Struthio camelus: one gene and its partner. The protein of the gene in region 1 interacts with the protein of each later gene in a biochemical or structural test. Links are inferred from orthologs where the notes say so. Each region holds a gene or a part of one and is shown on either strand. Other genes may lie near its edges.

Region 1 (10,444 bases):
CCCCGGACCCCGTCCCGTGCCCTGCACCAGCGGCGGTACCGCATTCATCTCCAAGAGAGGCCTTATTAGCATCTCATTAGGAGAGAAGGGGAGGAAAAAAAAAAAAGAGAAAGAGAGGAAAGAAATGTAAATTAGCTGCTTTCATGACAGCCAAGCTGCAGGGAGAGCGGGAGCGCTGGCGGAGATTAGAGACATAAAAGCGAACATAATCTGGGCGGCCGAGCGGAGGGTCTGAGCGCCAGGAGCGGGGGGGCCCCGGCAGCCGGCGAAGCCCGCGGCGCGGCCGTCCCCCGGGGCCCCGACTTGGTTTTCTCGAGCTGCCTCCTCCGCCCGTCGCGGAAGGAAAGCCGGGGAGGCGGCTGGGCGCCCCGCGCAGCCGGCCGAGCGCTGGCGAAGCCACGGGGGCCCGTCCCGCGCGCAGGCTGAGTGCCGCGGAGGGGTTTCCCCCAGCCTCGGCCGCCAGCGTCGATCCCCGAAGCCAGAGGAGAAGCGCTCTGCCCCTTCCGCCAGCGGGACCGCGCTGCTATTAAACGGCTGTCCCCACTCCGACCTAACGGTCGAGGCGGTTTCCAGAGTGCCGAAACACCAGAGGCTCCGGGAGGGAGCAGGGTAGCAGTAAATAGTGGAAATCCCACGCCACGCGGGGCTGGGGCGGCGCGCAGAAAGCCCTGGGGAAGAGTTTTGCAGAGAGCAGGAAGGAAAAGGGCCCGGGAAGGAGCGAACCTCGCTGCAACGAGGAGCTGGGAGCTGAGCCGGACCCGACAGCTCAGAGAAAAAGAGAGCAGGGTTTTCTTTTAACCAAATTCCCAGCGTTTAGCAGATCTGCCCGTCAGCAGCCCTGGTTCAACGGATTGCAGGAGAGCAAAACCAAACGGAGCGGATAAGGCTAAACGATGCTCGGAGCAGGGGGAGCCGAGGCAGAAGGCTTTAGCGGGGGAGAGACTTCTTAGCCGGACATGGCAAAACCAGATGGAAAAATATCATTGTGCTTCGCGTATTATTAGAGATGATCTGACCCCATTAGTCACAAGGGCAGAGCTAAAAATAAAGTCCCAGGGGAGGTGAGCCGGGGCCTGCTGGCGTTGGACCTAGCGGGCCAGCGACCAGTCCAACGTCTGGTCAAACTGGGCGGCTCTCCTCCGCCGGAGGCCCCCGACAAGCGACCCTGAGAGCAGAACCGGCTCCGGCGAGCGAGGGAGGCGCGAGGATGCTGCGCCGGCTGGAAAAGCACGCTCCCGCTCCTTCCCGTGGGTTCGTGCCGTGCCTCCCCCTGGGTTTAGGGGTTTCTTCCCAGGGATCGCAAGATCTCCCTGATCGCAAAATCCCTCCCGGCAGAGCAGCGAGACCCATCGGTCCCCGCTCTCCCGCCGCGCTGGCGGGCTCTGCAGCACCGGCAGGAGCGGGCTGCGGGGAGAGGAGCAGACCCGCGCCGCAGAGAGCTCTGCTGCGTCGCAACTTGGCGCCGGCTCCCGGCGCTCGCTAACCTCGCGCGTCCCCGGGCGAGAGCAGCGGGGCGGCGCGGGGACCCTCCCAAGCCGCTCCGCGTCTCCCCGCCCGGCGGGAGAGCAGAGCGCCGTCGCTGTAACCACTGCAATGGCATCGGGGAGGGCGGGGAGCAAGAACGATGCCTCTGCACAGCTTTTGCCACCCATTTAAAACTCAATTTAGCAATAAGAGAAACACCAGGTCGCAGGCTTTTAATTATCTAGGTTGCTACGGGGAGGATGCTTGCCAGACAAAGATTTAATTGCAGACAGCGAAACGCTGAGGTCAGGCCCGAGGCGGCGGCACCTCATTAGCTCAGTGACGAAGCTGGTGACGGCGCCTGCACCCCCGGACCACGCAAACGGCACCGGGAAGCTGTTTGGCCCGTGGCCTCGCCGGCCACGACGCGTTGCCCCTCGCTGCAGAGCGAGGCAGCCCGGCACCGACGGAGCCCGCGCGCGAGCGGGGCCGGAGCCCTGCAAGCCGGGGCTCTCCTAACCCTCCTCGCCGCCTGCCAGAAACGCGGCTCCCGCGGGCAGAGCAGGCTGTCGGCAGCAAAGCGGCTGTCCCGCGCGCTGCCAGGCCGCTCTGCGGTTCGCACGGAGGTTATCCAGGCTTTCGCCGCTGACCGCAGCTCAAAACGAGCCAAATCTTGTGCTTCCGAGTCAGCAACTGCAGCAAGGAGCAACTTCCCTTCTGTGGCGCCGCTCTGGAGCATCGTCCCGTGCATCGGTCGAGGATCCTCTGAATTCAGAGGAAAGCTCTTTACCAGCCAGTCCACCAGCAGCGAGGGTGAATGAGCCTCAGAGCAGACAAGCGATCATATCCAGAAACGTCCCTGTTTCAGGATTTACTGGAGGGAGGCCACGATCTGGGGCTAAACGCTCCGTCCATGCAACGCCTCTGTTGTGCAGCGGTGCGCTGACCTGGCAGGGCTCTTGCAAGGAGGGGCCTTCCCTCCTCCTGCTTCGCGGTAGGGGGAAACTGAGGCAGCAGCTAAGCGACTTCCCTCGGTGCCCTCGCAAGGACAGAGGCGCCTCGAAACGCTGCCGCTCGAGCCAAGGCGCCCGGCTTGTTCCCAGTCCCGGCAGCTCCGCGCGCACGGCTCGGCGGCTTCGGGACGCCTCTCCCAGCGGGAACCGGGGTAAGGGACGAGCAGGGGCCGGCGCAGCCCCGGCGGCTGGGGAAGGAGGGTGCTGCGAGCCCCGCGCTCGCCCACGTTAGCTCAGGCCTGCGGAGCCGCCGGAGGAAGGAAAGGAGGAAAACGGAGAGGCCAAGCGCCGCACAAGAGGCCGCCCGATCTCGCTCCCTGCCAGGCGGCCCAGGGGCCCGTAAGGGAGCACAAGCCGCGGCTCCTTCGCCCTGCTCTCCAGCAGGCACCGGCGCCGCAGGGACAAAACCCGGCCGGTCGCAGCGAACAAACGGGCGCATTCTTCTCCCCGCTGAGACGCCGCGTTATTACCCACCGTGGACTTTCGACACAGCCTGTTTCTCCAAGACACTACGTGTCTTTTGCAGAAGCTGCGGGCGAGCGGCTGGCTCGCGGGTTAAGGGAAAGGACGAGGAGTCAGGCCAGCCTGGCCCCCTTCCCAGCCCGGCTGGGAGCAGCACTCGCGCTCGGGCTGAGCTTCGCCTCTGCGGGACGGGGCTGCCCGGGTGGCAAGGCTGCCGAGCGCCTCCGCGGCGGCGAAGGAAATCTCCCGGAGAGGCCTGGAAGAGCAGGACGGGGCAGGGAGGTTGCCAAAACAGCACCGGCCAAGCTAAACACTCGCGTGTAATCAAGCAGCCGGATCCCAGCTTTCGGCCCAGCTCAAAGCAGAGCGTCGGCCGGTAGAGCCGGGCTCCAAACCCACTTCCAACCGCCAATTAGCAACCGGCCGGGCCGGCAGAGCGGGTGCAGCCGGCGGCTGAGAGGGCAGCGGCTACAGTCGCGCGGCGCGGAGCGAGCCTGCCAGATCTCGACCCGCAGCAACGCGCGCCCGCCTCTTCCCGAGTCTGCAGACGCGGCACCTCCGGTGCAACGCAGCGACGGCGTCGGCTTAGGCAGCTCTTTGCCCCGACGGGCCCTGGCTCGGGGCTGCCCCGGCCGCTGCCCGGCCCCAAGCCCGGCACAAGCAGTCCTGCGCGGCGGCCGAGCCAAGGGGCGCTGCCAGCCAAGGGCAGCCCGTACCCGCGGCATCCTCGGCACGGTTAATGTTCAACCCGGACGCTGGCACGCGGGCAAGCCGGAGCTGCCCGCGTGGATGAGTAACACCGAGCGATCGGCAAGGGCTGAGCAGCCACGGGGCCAAACGCCGGGGACGGGCTCCTCTCTCTGCCAGCACCGGGGGCATTTCCCGGCGCCGCGGAGGAGCAGAGGAAGGACCGAAGCGGTTCTCCCGCGGGTTTTAAGGTCATCTTTGCCAGCGGGAAATAAACCGGGCAGATTAGATTTTAGGTCGGCCAAATCTGGCGACATCGCTTAATCTCTCGCCCTCGCCACTCCCAAGGGCGGCGGGGAGGCGGGGGGCGAGCGCCCCGAGCCCGCCGAGCGGGGACAGGGACGGGAACCGCTCCGTCACCCGCTTGGCAGGAAGGAGCTGCCGGTCTGTCTGTCTGTCCCCTACCTCTCCGCCGGCGCCCACGCGGCAGGGAGCTGTCAGTCTGTCCGTCCCCGCAGCGGGAGGGCAGGACGGGACCGCAGGGCGGCTGCGATCCCGGTGGGACCTCCCTCCCGGCATGCGGTGGGGGGTCAGTCTGTCTGTCTGTCCTGTCCCTGCCCAGGGCGAAGGGAGAGGGAGAGCCTCAGGCTGGCTGGTTGTCGTCCTGCCCATCAGTCAGCCTGTCCGTCCGTCCGTCCAGGCAGCGGGCGCTCGCGCTGGGGGTCTGTCCACGGGAGGTGCCTCACCACCGGCCCGCTGCCAGTACCCGCCGGAGGGTGGGCGGGCGGCTGTCTGTCCTGGCGTTGCAGGGGTGCCTCTCCACAGGTCCCCTGCCTGTCCGTCTGTCTGGCTAGCTAGCTGTCCCCTCGTCTGCCCCCATCAGTGCAACGGGGGGGGGGTCTGGGTGTCCGTCCTGGAGCACGCGCCGGTCAACCTCTGTCAGTCCGCCCTGCCCTGCCCCAGCACGGACAGGGTGACGGCGCGTCCGTCTGTCTGTCTGCCCCGGTGGGTGCGGAAGGAGGATGGGATGTCTGTCCCTCTGTCCTGCTGCTGCTGGGGATCGCCTGTCTGTGCCAGGGACTACAGGGGCCGCCTGCCTGTCCGTCTGTCCACGCCTCCCCAGGGAACCTGCCTGCCTGTCCGTCTGTCTGTCCATGCCTCCCCAACAGACCTGCCTGTCCGTCTGTCTGTCCACGCTCCCCGACGGACCTGCCTGTCCGTCTGTCTGCCCATGTCCCCTAGGGGCTGCGGGGGGGGGGGGGGGGGGACTAGGAGGGAGGGACCGCCTGTCTGTCTGTCTGTCCGTCCGTCCTGGGAGCCGGGGGGGAAGGGGTCTGTCTGTCCCTCCCCACAGCTGCGCAGACAGCCTCTGTCTGTCCGTCCGTCCCTCCCGAGACCTGTTAGCGCAGCGAGGCCTGTCTGTCCCGGTACCTGCCCGGCCGGGGGGGGGGGGGGGGAAGCTGCCGGGGGCGGGGGGCTGCCGGGGGGGGGGGTCTGACCCTGCCGGTGCCTTTCCGGGACGGGGCGGGGGGCTGCCGGGGGGGGGGGGTCTGTCCCTGCCGGGGGGTCCCGCCCGCCCCGCTCCCGGCCCCGCCCGCTCACCTGGTGCGTGTTGTTGCCGAGGGCGGCCGGGACGCCGCGCAGGCCGCCGCAGGCCTCGCCGCCCGCCGCCGCCGCCAGGCCGAGGCCGCCGCCGCCGCCGCCGATGGCGCGGGGGGGGCGCGGGGGGGCGCGGGGCGGCGGCGCGAGGCGCAGCGCCAGCCCCAGCCCCAACGCCAGCGCCAGCCCCAGCGCGCGCGGCGCTGCCCCGCGCGGCCCCATGGCGACTCCGGCCGCCGCCCGCCGCCCCGCGCCGCCGCCCGCCCCCGCCGCGCCCCGTCCGCCCGCCCCCGCCGCCCCATTGGCGGCCCCCGCCCCGCGCCCCGCCCCCCGCGCCCCGCCCCCGCCCGCTTCGCCGCCGCGGTTGGCCGCGGCCGCCGTCGCTCCCTGCCATGGCAACCGGGCGGCCCGCCTCCCCGGCGGCCCCGCCCCGCCCCCGCCTCCTGATTTGCCTCTTCGCTTGCCAATCACCGCCGAGCCACCTCTCTCCTCCTTCCGTGACTGGCTAGCTCCCCACCGTACCCCTTGCGCGACTGCCCGCTGCCCCCGCCTCCCTTCCCCACCCCGCATTCTAGTCCACCTAGACACAGCCCTCTGATTGGCGGCGACCGGGGCCGCGGAGCGATTTTCTGATTGGCCGAGGTGGCGGGGCACCCTGAGAAGGCCCGCCCCCTCGCCCATTCACAAAGTGGGGGCCGGCCCACGTGGGCGGAGCGGTTGGGGGGGGGGGGGGTGCGAGGAGCCCAGGCGTCCGGCGGGCAGACCACCCCCCCCCCCCAAAAAAAAAAAAAACGGGCCTGGCAGGGAGAGCAGGGACCCCCTGCTCCCAGAGACACCCAGGCCCCGGAGAAGCCGCCCAGTAATGGGGGGGGACCCTGGCAAGGCAGCCCCGCACAGGGATGCTCAGGCCGGGCTTCACCCGTCCCGGTTTGGGGCCCGGTTCACGGCTCTGGGGGCCACGCAGAAACAACCGGCGGCCCCAGCGCGAGGGGCTCGCGGGAGCTCGCTCGACGCCACCAGGAAACGGGGGGCCGGAGGGCGTGCGGCGCTGAGCCGGCGGGAGGAGCGAGAAAGACAAACCCGGCGAGAGGAGAAAAGCGCGGAGAGAGGTCGCGGCCTGCGGAGGGGCCGGACGCGCAGCCGGCTGCGAGGGGCGCTTCCACGAGCGGGTTTAGCGGAGGGCAGCGACCCTCTCCTCCCGCCCCGGCTCGGCTGGCTGCGCGCTAGGGCCCGGTAAGGCTTCGCCTGGCACCAGCAAGCCGACGCCGGCGCCTTCCAGGTTGCGGCCGCTGCCCTGGCGCTGACGGCGCCCGCCGCCGGGGAGAGGGCCGCTCGCCGCACCGCGGGCGGAAAGCGGCTTCCCAATAAATTAAGCGACGGATCCCTTGGCGGGAGCCCGGGAAAGGAGGCGGCTTTGGATATCTGGCCGCGATCCCGCGTGAAAGGTTCATCCTCCCGTCAAGGGTAAGCCGGGCTGTGCAAGCGAGGAGGACGCTGGGGAAGCGGGCGAGGAACCCTCTTCCCTGACGCCTGCTCTCTCGGGCCGCGCAGACAGCGCTTGAGCCTCCTGCCACACCTAAGGCCGCACAAAGTTGAGATCAAAACGCACTTGGGAAAGTTCCTGACTTCTTTGCTACTCGCCCTCCAGGCCTTCATCCTTCCTCATTTGCAAAAAGAGGGTTTTCTTCTTACTGCTGTGTCATTCTTTTACTTTTTTTTTTTTTTTTTGCCCTGAAAAGGGAAAATCTGTGAGCTTGATGCATGAAAGACCTAAGGGAAGACACCTTTGTGACAAGCTGCCTGGGTGGCATCGTTCAACCGATAAAGAGAGCGGAGGCAGGTATCAACCACCCGCACGGGAGGTGCGTGCGCCCAGCTCTGTTACGCTCAGATCCTCTCTTGCGTTCGGACTGCCTGCAAAGAGCTCCGGCTTTTTTCCTTTCCCTCAATGGAGCCAAGACGGATCAGATATAAGGAACACAAAGCCTTGATTTTTCAGAGGAACCAGCTACCATGTGATGCTGCCACCAGCAAACCATGTGATTAGGGAAAGACATAAAGGACTATTTTCTGCTGGAGTGCCATGCTGGGAAGAATTAGCTTTTTGTGTTTTCTAGGACAGAAACAAGCCTAGAAAGAGCACTACCTCCGGGAACAGCAGGTTTCTTCATGTGCCAGGGTTTGCAGAACAGCTGGAAACGCTCCTCGGCTTCCCTTCCAAAGGAGAAGCAAGAGAACATGACCTAGCTTTGAGTGAATGTAAAGGCTTAAAATACTAAAGATAAAGGGTACTTATTTCTTCCACATACACAGTAGCTGGTACCAGTGTGAGCTGCATTTACTGGATGAGTTTATTAGGGCAACACATGGAGCAGCAGCCCCAATACCATCTCTGGCATGCCAAACATTCAAGGTAAGTGACCTCCACCCTGGACTTTCCCTCCTCACTTCCCAAGTTCATCTAGGGATGAAGAGTAGCATAGAGAGACCAGGGGCAGTGGTTCAAAGGCCATGCAAGCGGAGTGAAAGTTGAAGGACTTGTTTTCCCACATTAAGGCTACAAAGAAGTCTCCCTGAAGGGCAAAGTCCACCAGCCACTTGTTTATTCTTCCACCTGCAGATATAGATGCTGTCTTCAACTAGTATCACAAGACCTCAGGCATCACCTGGCTCTCCAGCTTGTTTCATTTGAACTCGTACCAACGAGGGGGGAAAAAACCTCACAGCAGAAACTCGTAGGAGCAAAGGCTTCTGCTATTCTGAAAATAGATGTTGTCTAAGGACAGATCTTCCAGCCATGTAGATCTGGTTGCCTTTCCAGCATCTGAAGGCATTCAGCAACAGCAAGAGAAGAAAAAAAAACTAACAGGATCGGCGTTTTCCATCCTGCGAAATGGCCGCGAGATCAGTCGTGTCAGTTTGCTGCAACTGTTTGGCAAAGCCAAACAGCAGTGAAATGTCTGCTGGAGGTCGGCAGTCAATCCCGACCTCTGAATTGAGGGGAAAGTTAGTCATTTCAGTCAAATGTAATGCTGGAAGCATCCCCACTTATCAGGCGATCCCCACTCCCAGCAGCAGCACGGGATCTGCTTCTTTCACAGAAGTCAGCGCTGTTTTGTTCAGGATGAAATTTTACCTTCTCCAAATAGGGAAGAGAGCGGAGCAGCCTCGGGGAGACACAGCCTCTGCTGCCTACAAAGCCACAGAACTGCATAGTCAACGTGTTACCAGGAGCCTCCTAACAGCAGAGCTGGTTTTCCAGTCTCAGAAGCTGCACTGGCCACGCAGTCTTGATTTCGCAGGAAAGTACTTTGCTAAACTCTGCTTAGGCCAGACTATTTTCATCTCAGTAGCAATCTTTAATACTCAGATGCTATTTCAAGGACAAAGAGGTGCCTGCAGGGGGTAACTAGAAACAAAAGCCCCATTAAGTAGATGAGCAAAAGTTCGCTGGTCAGAATGAAAATACTCTCAAAATTCAGTGACACCTGCCCAGGTCAACGAGTAAGGGGTTGTCCTCTTAACCTCAGAGCTATTCCACGCTTGGGGAACTCTGCTGTATCACATAGTCATTGCATGTACTTCCAAACTCCCATTCAGAAGGGAGCACAAACACCAAGCCTGCTTTGGGTATGAGCAGACCTAAAAAGCCCATGTAAAATTATACATGGGAGGTCCTGATGTGATATAGCCTCATTCTCCACGAGAGGGAGACTTGCTACTGGCATAACCAGCAAGGGCTCCTGGAGCAGCCGCCGCGTCTGGAAGGCGGTTAGGAACAGCGCCGTCCAGAGAGCGATTCCCAGAGAACTCTGCAAGCCCGGCACGCGCTGCTTCGCCCTGCAGCGATGTCAACAGCAGATGTTGTCCTCACCTGCTCCTGGGTTTTGCTCTAAACGGTCGAGCACTTCCCCACCTCAGACCTCCATCCATTATGAGGAACCCAAGATAGAGTAACAAAATGATTTATTGTCATTTCCTCTTATTGTAGAGATCAGTTATGTACAGAAACTGTAAAAAAACCTTAAGAGCCTTCTAAGAAGAGCAAGTACAGATGCTGCTGGAAATAAAATCACAGGTACTGGAAGGAACCGAGAGTCAGTTCACTTTGATTGGGGAATGAGCCTTTGAGGGGGTCTCTCTTTTTCAAATATCCTTGATGACCTCTTCAAGCTCCTCTTTCGTATACATGTGGAACTTCATTCCCGGCTCCACTGTGGCAAGCTGAAAGAGAAAGAGCAAGGGGTTAAGCGTGCCTGCATATGTGAAGTGACAGCATGGGGCAGGGAACAGAGAGAAGCCACAGCAGACAGCAGCTGTTCCTTCTCAGCTGCTTGATCTGCCAGCCCAGCAAGATCATTCCACCCTGTAACATGCTCTTTGATTCCCCAAAATAGCTGGCTGCCACAGAAATAGCTTTTAATTGACTCAATCTCCTCATAGTAGCAGCAGCCGGGAACGTCTGTTGGGCTCAGGCTCCGCTTCTGCTTGCTGCGGGGAGAGACCCTGTTAATACTAGCTCTTCATCAAACACCTCTTGGAAGAGCGGTTCCTCTTGCTGCAGTTCAGGGTGGCCCCGCGCCTGCAGTGCTTGGTAGAAATATCTCTTTGCTCAGATTCAGGAGGCAACACTGAGGAGCCAGAAGGACCACTTCTCCTCCAGTAATGAAGGGTACAAGTCCTGGCCTGTTACACGCTTTAAGAGAACAAAGCAAAATACTCAAAAGGGGACTGTGGATTAGCTTTGGGAAACTGAGGCAGGGACAAAAAAAAATGCATGTGGCCATTTTGATCAACAAATACTGACAATAAGCAAGGCAGTCACCACAACGTACCTTGCAACTACCTGGTGTCCTATGCAAGCGGGTGTAAAGAAGTTCTCTTACAAGGCAAAGCCGAATGGACAGAGCTGGGGGACAAAATGCACTGCCCTGCCTCTTTGCCAGGAAGAGAGAGGGGCAGCGTCCAGGGCAGACAGCTGAAACATTTCACAGAGCAAGTACCAGAACAAGAGATACTTGAACAATTACAAGACCGGAAAAGGAATCCAAGTGGGACTTTTGTTTGCACCTTGTTCATGGCATGAAAGCCCAAGATAGCAGCAGGCAGGCAGACAAGCCAAAAGGTGCAGGAACTAGCCTGGATGCTGCAAACCTTGCTCACAGACACCCCCAGCACTGGGCATCTCCAGCCTCAAGGGATCAAAGCGTTTTGTTGCG
Region 2 (10,444 bases), about 6.1 Mb from region 1:
TTTTTTCCGAGGGATACTACTAAGATATCTGGAAGCCATGCTCCTGTGGTACAACTGTTGCCCTCAACAGAGAGCATGAGTCTGATTGATAGAGTTCGATTTGGGCCTTCGGCCAGTGGGGACTATTATGCCAGAAAATCTCAAAACATTGCTGTAAATGCAAGATCCCTGGAAAAAAGAGGAAAGGCTCTTTACTGGGAAGTATACATTGCCTCCAAGTCGACAAAGAGTCTAAGGTGTTTTATGCACTGAACAAAGAGACAGGAGGTTCAAATGATGCTACTAAAGGCTGGCATGGCAGTAAACCCACCATGCAAGTTATTTCACACTACCTCATGCAGTCTTTTTAGTTTTGGACTAAGATGTTATGCTAAGAAAGTTTCATGCTTTTGCGTATGTTCTGCTACAGTAATAGTGTCACGTCTAGCGTTCACGTGAAATGTCTTTCACACGAACGTAGCCACACAGACATTATACCTGAAGGTGGGCAAGTACTGCATCTTTTTGTCTCTTGGTCTCCTAAACACATGTAGTTGACTGTGCAACGTGGTGTACTTGGGTGTGCTTCAGTTGGAGCTCACGCACTTGAAAACGTGCTGACTAGTGAATTGTTGTAGCCAACTCTTTTTATATCCCTAGTGACTTCACAACTGTCTGCCAGTACGGTCAGCATCTTACACCTCTATTTGTGTATCCATTAAATTCGGTTTTATCCCTTCTCCTGTGTCCTCATAATTGGGTACAAGTGCCAAGTTTTAACGTTCCAGTACACTCTTAACTCGTTTGCAATTAATTGTTAAACTCGGAGAAACAGGAAGCACGAAAGGAGGCATGAAAACCGACTTTTGTGCAGAGAAAGTTCTGTGTAATTCCACTGTTTTTTAACACGCGCTCCAGAGTGAAAAACACATTTAATACCTCTATAGCCAGTCAGCTACGCTTGGGGTTAGACTCACAGCAGTCAGGTTGACATCTCCCATCCCTGACTTATCTCCTCAGAATATGCTAGAGCTTCCTGGCATCCAGGTTTCACCGTTTGTATTGCTATTCTCTGGACTCTGCAGTAATCCAGGTGAAAGGTATACTGTCAATGCAACGAATGATGTAATATTTCCTTGCTACTGTTTACTTTTATGTGTAATATTCTTGGTGAAAGCATTAAGAAAAGACTTCAGTTCAATAACGAGTCTCAAAATAAGATGTCAGCTCCACAAATAAATAGGCACTAAGAAATTAGATAAAACTGTGTTTTCCCATTTGAAGTATATTTCACTGAATTTCACAAGATCAAACAGTTACATACTTTTCTTAGGCCTTTTTCCACTTCCTCAGTCATAATCTATTTAGACCTTGATTTGCCTGTTTAGTTATATATCTCAGTGTTGGTCTCTTTCTGCAGTGTAAACTCACATGAACTCGTACTTGCCCCTAAGTAATGAATACTCAGATAAAAAACGCTATCTTCACCTTCTCGTTTAAACACAAGTCCCGTACCTTCATCAGTGAACTAGCAACACATAGTAAAAATTATGTAGTGACCTTTCTTCTTGCAAGAATGGGTAAAGTATTTGGCAGGCTAAAACGCTTAGGAGAAGAAGATAAGGATGTCTGTACCAGAACGGAAGAAAGTATTCTGTCTTCCACAGTACCTAGTAATGTTTAGGGAGTAGTATAAGAATAGGGCAACCATATAGTGATATTTCCTTATTATACTCTCCCACTCTCCAGTCATTTTTGAATTGCATTTGATTTCCTGAACTGCAGGTAGTATCTTTGCTTTTAATATGTCGGATTGCTTTTTGAACCCATCCAATGGAAAGAAATTCCATACCTTAATGATGCCTGGAGAAAAGAACAACTTTATTTTGTTTGCTTTGAACCTGCCACCTGTAAGTTTCATTTCCTGCTCCTTGGTTTTTGAACTGGGAGACAGACAACAGCCATTTCTTCTTAACCTTATACAGGACAGTTACGAGTATCTACATTATATCCCTCCTCAGCCATCTCTTTTCCAGGTCGGGAAGTCCTGATCTATGTAGTTCCTCTTAATATGGAAATTGTTCCAGGCCTTGTTGCTCTTTTTTGTGCCTTTTCTGGTTTTACTCTATTCTTTTTTTGAGATGTGGACAATGACCATAACTACATGCAATAGTCAGGACATGGGCACAAGATGGGCTTATAATGTGGGACTGAGGCTTTACTTTCACTGACTGAGTTATATAAATAGCGCTAGTGGAATCACACCAATACTCAAAGTGTGCATAACCTACGCTAATAGATACGATGATCTCTTGGCAAAAGCAAAAATGACCTTGCTGTGTTTGGCCACGTAATAATTTTTGGTATAAATGCATGCACACGCAAACACTTGCAAATATTTAATCAATTCAACAGAGCTGCGCAAAGGGCCTTGTGTCAGGAAAACAAGCCACTCACATCCCATAGGACATCTGTCCCAGTGTGGGAGACGCTTCTGTCATAGAAATGCTCTTAAAACACATTGGCCTCCGTGACAGCGCTGGAGTCAAATTGAGGATAGGGAGAATTTTCTTCTTACCGTGAAAAAAAGCAGCTCTAGTACCATTGTTACGGGTGCCTTTCACCCCTCGTTAGCATGAGGCAAGGCTTGTGGGAAGAAGTAGTATCTTACATTTCTCTAACTGTATCAGCTGATCTAATAAATGTGTTACTTTATGGTCACTTTCTGAACAAGCCCTTTAAACTTCTGACGAGAGGGCAGTTGCCAGCAGAGGTCACCATTGCTGTAGTCGAGTTGAAAGGTGTTGCCGTTCACTAGCTTTTAGTGGACTGAGATTTAAAGGATAGACAAATATTTCTAAACGCACCAGTACTGGTGTAGACTTTTGGTGCTGGAATATTAAATCTACTGGAGTGAAATCATTAATTGTTTTAACTCTTTTGTTTTAAGAGCAAGGTTTGTTCTCGAAATATATGACTAAAACAATAGTAGAACTACGTTACCTCCTTAAAATTATCGATATATTTTCCAAATGATGCCTTCAACTTAATGCAATTAATGTTAATTAATATATATTCAATATCCTGCCAGTTCTAAAGGTATTTTTTAAAGAAACAAAATTGATTAATGAAATGTGCATGATGGAATTTGCATTTACAGGAGCATTTTGTATATGAGCACAGGTGAAATTATGGGATGTATTCTATGGACTGAAGTAATCTAGTTTTTAAATGTGTTTCATCTTTCCTGCTGTTATATGTATTCCATTAAAGAAGGGCATTTTCACTTAAAAATGCTAATTATTACTTAATCAACATTTTACGTATTTTCCTAACCTGTTTTTTTAAATTAACATTTTACAGTGATTACATAGGAGGCCTAATCATTCTAAGTAATAATCATTCTAAGTAACTTAGCATATGGGCTAGAATGATCCTTTGTGCTCTGTAATTCTCCGCTGGAATTAAATGAAGACATCTGAGAAGATAACTTAAGCTTTTGGGTGAGAAAATGGACACTGCTAAGCTAAGAGGATGTGAAAACCATGAGCAAGAAAGCCACACTTACTTACTTTCTTTGCCACCCTGTTGTGAGACTGACAGATCCCTTTAGAGTGAGTGGCTGGGATTGATCAGGATGTGAAATGACTATTACTTTACTGCGCACATCTGCCAGAAGAGCTACTCTCCAGACCTTGCTGAGATTTTTTAGAAAATGATTCATACACCTAACGAGTAATATATTTAAGGGCCAAATCTTTCTTAATCCTGCTCATGTGGACACTCCATTTTATTTTCTTGATCCCATCACTGTAATTTTTTTTTGTGAAAGTGCAGACACTGTTGTAACTTTGTGAGTTTTGGACAAATGTGAGATGATGATTGTCCATCTGAACATGGAGATGGCTTTTTAAAAGGCCTGTTTTTCATAGTACCTGAAACAGCTCAGAACTGCAACAAGTATGAACTTACAGGCAAGTCAGCTTCCTGCCTTTTTGCAGATAATTGTCACACTCTATTTTAGCTTAGCAAAAAAGTACCCAAGAGGCTTTACTGTAATACACTAATGCATGAAAGCACTCATGAATTATCTGCCTAACAGTGACAATGCAACTTCCAAGTTGTGACAACTTGGAAAAACCAGCCTGACAAGCGTGCTCACTTTCACTGTTTTTCTAAAACTTCTTGAGCGTATAAGGAGAATTTAAAGTGAAGAAAACAATTGAAGCACAAACGCTTTTTGTTCTTGGCACACAAATTCCTTTCCTCCCTTGCTGGGGTCCCCGTTCCTGTGTCTGACTGGCGTATCAGATAAAACGGTGTTACTATCACCCAGGATAAATCAATAAACACTGTCAGTTTCATCCTGTCAATAATAGGCAGGCAGCAAGGAGTTGGTAAGCTTTTCCAAGTGTAGTTACAGAATATACAGTCTAAAGTGAACTACAGCTCTGCCTAGAGCTAGAAGGTTTCTGCCTTGTGCCAATTATGTCTGGATTGACCAGAATTCTTATTTATTTATTTCAGAAAAGCAAAAAAAAGAGTTCTTACCTAGAGTAGAATTATCATGGAAAAGAGAGAAAGTGTTACACCATAATGAAAACCAAGACAGCAAAGCATTTTCATATAGAAGTTAACTGCTATACCTGTGCAGATAAAACTAAGGTCTGATTTACCTGGATGAAAAACGATGCGTAAGAATGCCTACATTTCTCTAAGGTTAAGCTGCTTTTACTAAAGATACGTTTCAAGCTTTGAACTTAGCCACAAATGCTTTCTGAACACCTTCCAGATGTGCATGCTATTTAAACTGCATTAATAGATGCAATTTTCAGTCTTACTAGACCAAGCTGTTCTGAACAAATGTTACTTTTAAGCAACCAGCACTCCATGTTTCAAAGGCATCTGATCTGCACCCCTTCAAGAGAGCGAAAATCACAGTACAGCAAAAACATACTGGCAAATTTTAAAGACAGGAAAACTTCCACAACTGATGCAACGGCAGCATTACTTGCTTTGTGAAAACCCTTTGACGGTTGTGGGGTCACTCACCTCAGAGCTGCTATCACTCAACACTGGAGGGAGAGGAAATCCTGAGGGGTGTCCAAGCTGTTTTGTAGTCCGTAGCACCCTAGTCTGTGGACACTTTCCCAAGCCAGACGAGCCATTCACATTCCCTCTGCCTTTCCAGCCTCATTCACTGCTCTCAGGCTCAGCTAGCTGCACTGACTCACAGGAATTAAGCTCCCTCTGGGTCCTAGTGCTGTAAACGTGTGGGAGCTGCACGGACTCGTAGGAATCTAGCCTTTGGCTTGGCGCCTAATCCATGCAGTGATGCACAGATGTGCAGTGAAAGTTTCAAAGCGTGCACTGGCTGTATGACTGAGAAAAAGTGTCAACTTCCTGGTTCCACTGTCAAGAACTGAAATTCTCTTTAAGGTACTTTTTGTCTAAAGAATTTCTGCTTTGCATCTTAATATCTGTGCTGTGTTTAAAGATGAGAGGTCACAAAAGCAAAGCCCCGGGTCCCTGATGAATGGGTCCTTGTGAAAGTGATCCTTAGAGCCCTTTACTCATGTCATGAGTCTATGAAAAAGAATAAGAAGAAACTAACAGTTAACTGATGAAGCAGTGGACTAGGTTGTCTGCAAAAATTGTGCAGTCCCTGTTATCAGATGTCTTTATCAGGGGTCAGCCAAATACTGATCAGGAGTAAGAAGGAAATAGTTGATCCTGACTTGGGGCAGAGGAAAAGATTATATAAAGTGCCTTCCAGCCCTAATGTTTTGTGCTCAACATGCTTACCATAAGCAATAGAGGGAGATGGAAATGTTTCTCCATTATTTTTGTGAAGGAGGATTAAGTGCTTTACCACAGAGCAACAGTGTGTTTTAAGCCCTGAGAAATACAGAGAAGAAATGCAAAAGTGAAAAATTACATGACATTAAACAAATCAATAAACAGTTGACTGACTACATAAACCAAAGGAACTTTTAATACAGCTATGAAGCAGACACCTGGAATTTCATAGTTCTCATACTAGCATAGTGTAACCCTTGCCATTTCACAGAGACCCAAGGCAAAAAGTTAGATCATCCTCTACTGAAAAACAGACCACTGCATTTTATAAACGTGGAAATAATAAAACATCTTTTGATTACATCCAGAAGAGGGCGGACATCTGGAGAGGCTCATGCTTGAAAACCTTCTAGGAAGGGAAAGATGTGTGGAAGGTACTGTGTAAAGGCGTAAAGAAGAAGACAAAGTAGCTTTGAGATAATAATGTTTTTTATATATCACGTGAATGTGATAGTTCTTGAACTCGAACCAAGCATATCCTCTATTTTATTAGAAGTCGTAGACAAGTCTTACATTCATTTTCCACAGTGCCAAAGTTAAGACTGGCTTCAGTGCTAGACCTTTTCTTGGAGGTGATGTCCATTTAAAATTGCCTGAAAAATCCTTAAGAAAATTGCAACACAAAATGCTTAAAACAAATGCTGAAAATACCTTCCTAAGTTCCCAGAATTATGCAGTTCAGATTGGTTTGTTTTTCTAAAAGCGACGGCCCACACAAGATACCAGTCACAGGCCAAACTGTAATGTCTTCATTCACACAGACAGCCATCAGAATTTGTGAAAGTTTTGCCTGTAAAACTTGTCCTCGGGATTTGGCCTTAGATTCATATTTCATTGCAGAAATGCCAGGCTATTCTTGTGTTGGAAATTTGTCTCACTTCATTAGGATATCCTCAGGTTAGGATTTTTTGCTGACAATTTGAAAGAGCATTATAGCTTGGTGTGAGTATAATGAACAGCATCAAAACACCAATATAAAAATATATGCTCTTTTCTGACCAAAAAGTTAGTACATGCTTGTGCTTAGCATCTCTACGTTTGATTTCTTGGCACGAGTTGCATGTGTTTTCTTAAAAGTTAAAAAAGCTATTTTGGACACAGTAAACAATAATACAGTTTGAGTTTGTACTTAATCTGTATCACAAGCACTTACTTTTGTCTAACGAAATTCTCCTCTAGTACCTCATTCCATCATAGCAGCAGGTTCATATAAGCAAGAAAGATAGCTGCACCAGTCCCTAGGAAAACGCACTGGCTTGTATTCTTTTTCCTTATGTTCCCATGTACCCCAAACAAACAGCATTTCTACATTCCTAGCTTCTGGAAAATAGGCGTGCTCCTATGGGTATACTAGCCATGTACAGACGTAATCCCAGGTGGACTGCTATACTTGGAGCTGAGCAGCTGAAAGCGCTGCACAGAGTAGGTTGTATATCTTTCTCTTTTAGCAGTGCTCTGACCCACCTACTTGCACGGATGTTTAACTTTTATCTTTCATGAGTTGGGGGTTCTCTTGCTTAGGCAGGAAATCACTGATCACAAGGTAAAGAACTAATAATGTCAGGCTGAGCAAGGAAAAGATGTATTCTGGAATCAGAGAAGCTGCTGCATAGAGAGAAGTTCTTCTGTGAGCACCAAACTAATGAATCCTGGTTCTCTTAGAGATTTGCATCCAATTATTCTTCTGCCTCTACTACAATAATCCCAAATCTCCTATGACCTCTTGCATGAGCTTCCTTGAACAATTACCTCAATTTTCGCCTAAGAGTAAGTCGATCCATTGTGTTCCAGAGAAGCATTGGCATGTAGTGCGTTGACATATTTTGTTTCAGGAAACCAAAAGCACACAGATCAAAATGAAGAGCAGCACTGTTGAGAGTGGTGACAAGAGGTGAAATGCTTTGTGCTCTCATGAGTCTTGGGCTGTGGCTATTCTGACCATTAGGCTGAGTTCAGTGTTGCCCTAAGCCCCAAAACAACAGCTGTGGATTGTTACAGCCTCTTCCCCCTGCATCAGCACTTCTGTCCAAATAGGTTAGTGAAGGAGGCACAGAGTAGGAAAAAGGTGTTTTGTGTTTATGTGGGTTGTTTAGGACTGTAAGAGGCCTTGGGTACAGGAGGTGAATTCCTGCTGGAGTTGATGTCTTTTGTGCTCCTGAAAGAGTTTCGGGGAAGGTGTTTGAGGAGCAGTGGCTGGGCTTTTCCATTTATAAGCAACTTTCTTTGAGGAACAAAGCTGCCAGAACCAACAAAGTCCTCATTTGTGTCTGAAATCATTGTGAGTATGGAAGTAACGCAGGTGAGCAGAGCTACTGTTTCTAAAATCTTGCTGTCTAGAGAGGTGTCAGGGTGTTAATAAAAGGACCCACAGAGCATGAAAAGCTTTTCAAACATGTCATAAAAGTATAGGGCATGGGATGAGGGTGACAGATCTTGTTTTCTTCAGAGATACTTAATTGTGTGTGTGTGTGCGCGTGCACGTGCGTGCTGACAGCTGCATTCAGTACTTTCTTGTAGTGCTGGGTCTTTACAGGAAAAAAGATAAATCAAAAGTACACCCCCCACCCCAGCTATCTGGAGGTGCTTAGATGTGAATGCAAGAAGTGTTTTAAACGTCTAAAGTGAGGCTTTCAAAAGTGTAAGATAGAATCTGTTTTACCTAAAAGAATATTTATCACTTCCAATTTTATAAACCTCCAGAAAATAGAGCATTGCTATCTTATGTAAGCTTGTTTGACAGCTCTAGTCCTAAAGCTAAATTGAATGTAAAGAGATATTAAACTTAGCTCTTAATACTCAGCTGGAGGAAGCTAGCCCACCTTTGGCCAAATAGATGTTAACTGAGAGACTAGAAGGAATGGTCACAACACAAGTTCTCCTCTTGTATTAGTTTCAAACATGGAAAACCTGATGGACAGGTGGTCTCTTTTGGCTTTGTTAGTTTGTGTAGCATTACATTATAGTGTTATGTGTAGGGCAGAAGCTATTAGCAAAAAGCAGAAGCTCACTCATGGGTCATGAATAAGTAGGTCATACAAACAAGTTCATTACTGATTTACTGTGGGACTCAGTCTCCTGTTTTTTTCTTAACTGCTTCTGCTGCATGGTTTTTCAGTTGAATCGATAACGCATACCGAATGTAGCTTAGCTGCGTCAAGAAATTGATTTGCTCATGATGCATCCCAATATACTGCAGTTCAAAACAAGTGGTGATAGGAAACATTCAGTTATGGTGAGTTATGGACTTGCACTAATATTATTCTTTCTCTTTTGGTTAGTTATAAAGGGTACAGTAAAACAAACCATTTTGCTGTAAAATAAAACATCTCCAAAGCCTGATCTTAGTAAAAGCAAACTGTCTAGTGATCATCCAAGTGCTGTTACAGACAGAATGTAATTCTTATGGTAGTGACATATAGACAAAGCAGAGCTATGAGAATAACTTTACATAGCGTTCCTCTTTGGATTCAGCAGAGGTTTTGCCTGATAACTTATTTGGAAAGACACAGTAACTACTGTATATTACAGTATACATAAGCCTGCAGTTTTGTTAGAATACCTTAATATTCACTGTTGGTTTGCAATGAGGGTAAAATTAGAACATACGTGCTATTTTAAAACAGAAAAGGAACTATGAATTTTGAAAAACAGCACTCAGATGTTTGAGTGCTCTTCTATAGGAGGATAAAAGGTTGTAAGATACTCTGCTTAGTGGCTGCGTGGTTTTATCCCTAGCCATAGCTTGTTGCACTAGACTGAACTAGTGGCTGGGTTGGAGTCGGAAGTCTCTGTGAAAACCACGAAGAGTTGTCAGTCAGGGTTCACTAGTAATGGACTTGTGTGTCTCTTTTGTGGACAAAAGTTTTATAACCACATATGATCTGGTGCACCTTTCACACACGCTTCCGTGACAAGAGCATTTCAAGAGCTAAAGTCAAATGCGTGTTTCCCCTGTTTTGTTGATTGGGAATATGCCACGCAAACTCTGCTAGTGTTAATCCTTCTATAATCCACAGAGTCTGACAGCTGTTTCCCCCCTTCTTTGGGGGTACTAGCACCATCAGTGAAGCCCATAGCATGTTCTCATTTCATGCTGACGTTGGTCAAGTCTGCCTTGAAGCAGCTACAGGAGGCTTGGACACATCGTCTGTCACTGGATAATGAGGCTCTCATGCGCAGGTTCCCTGAGAAACCTGTGCTTCTAGCATTGCTTCTCTGCTTGCTGCAAAGGAATGGGACCAGAGAGAAGCATTGACTCTGGCAGAGAATGACTCTTCCCTGCTGTTTGGTCTGTGAAGTGGGCCTCGCTTTTTCTCCTCTCCCTCTCTACCGCTCTTTTACTATGCTTTAATTTAAACTGCTTTTCCTTGTTGAAGTCTGACTTCACCGTGTGTGCATAATGCGCTCTGAGATGTTGAGAATAACTTGCCAGTACAGCCATGCTTTGTTAATGAGCTCTGGGAGCTGACAGCCACTTACAGCCAGTAATAATATCTACAGGGGATGAGTATTATAACCTGATTGTTCTTGCCGTGTTAGTGGGCAGATAACATATGATCATATCTGAATTTTGCTTCCTTTTAGGGTTGCGATACTAAACCTTCAT

Evidence for each region.
Region 2: the proteins of SORT1 (region 1) and NGF form a complex in vitro, tested with the Homo sapiens proteins (3 studies listed by BioGRID and IntAct, with this or other methods). The link is inferred for Struthio camelus from reciprocal best matches to the Homo sapiens genes SORT1 and NGF.

Annotation. Positions count from the first base shown.
Region 1 is NC_090965.1:4,132,886-4,143,329, forward strand, and holds the start of SORT1 (sortilin), read right to left. Parts: upstream 5,448-10,444; coding exon 5,229-5,447; intron 1-5,228. Other genes in the region: PSMA5 (proteasome subunit alpha type-5), read right to left, coding at 9,372-9,449.
Region 2 is NC_090965.1:10,272,861-10,283,304, forward strand, and holds the start of NGF (beta-nerve growth factor), read right to left. Parts: upstream 5,324-10,444; 5' UTR 5,032-5,323; intron 1-5,031. UniProt on the Homo sapiens protein: Nerve growth factor is important for the development and maintenance of the sympathetic and sensory nervous systems.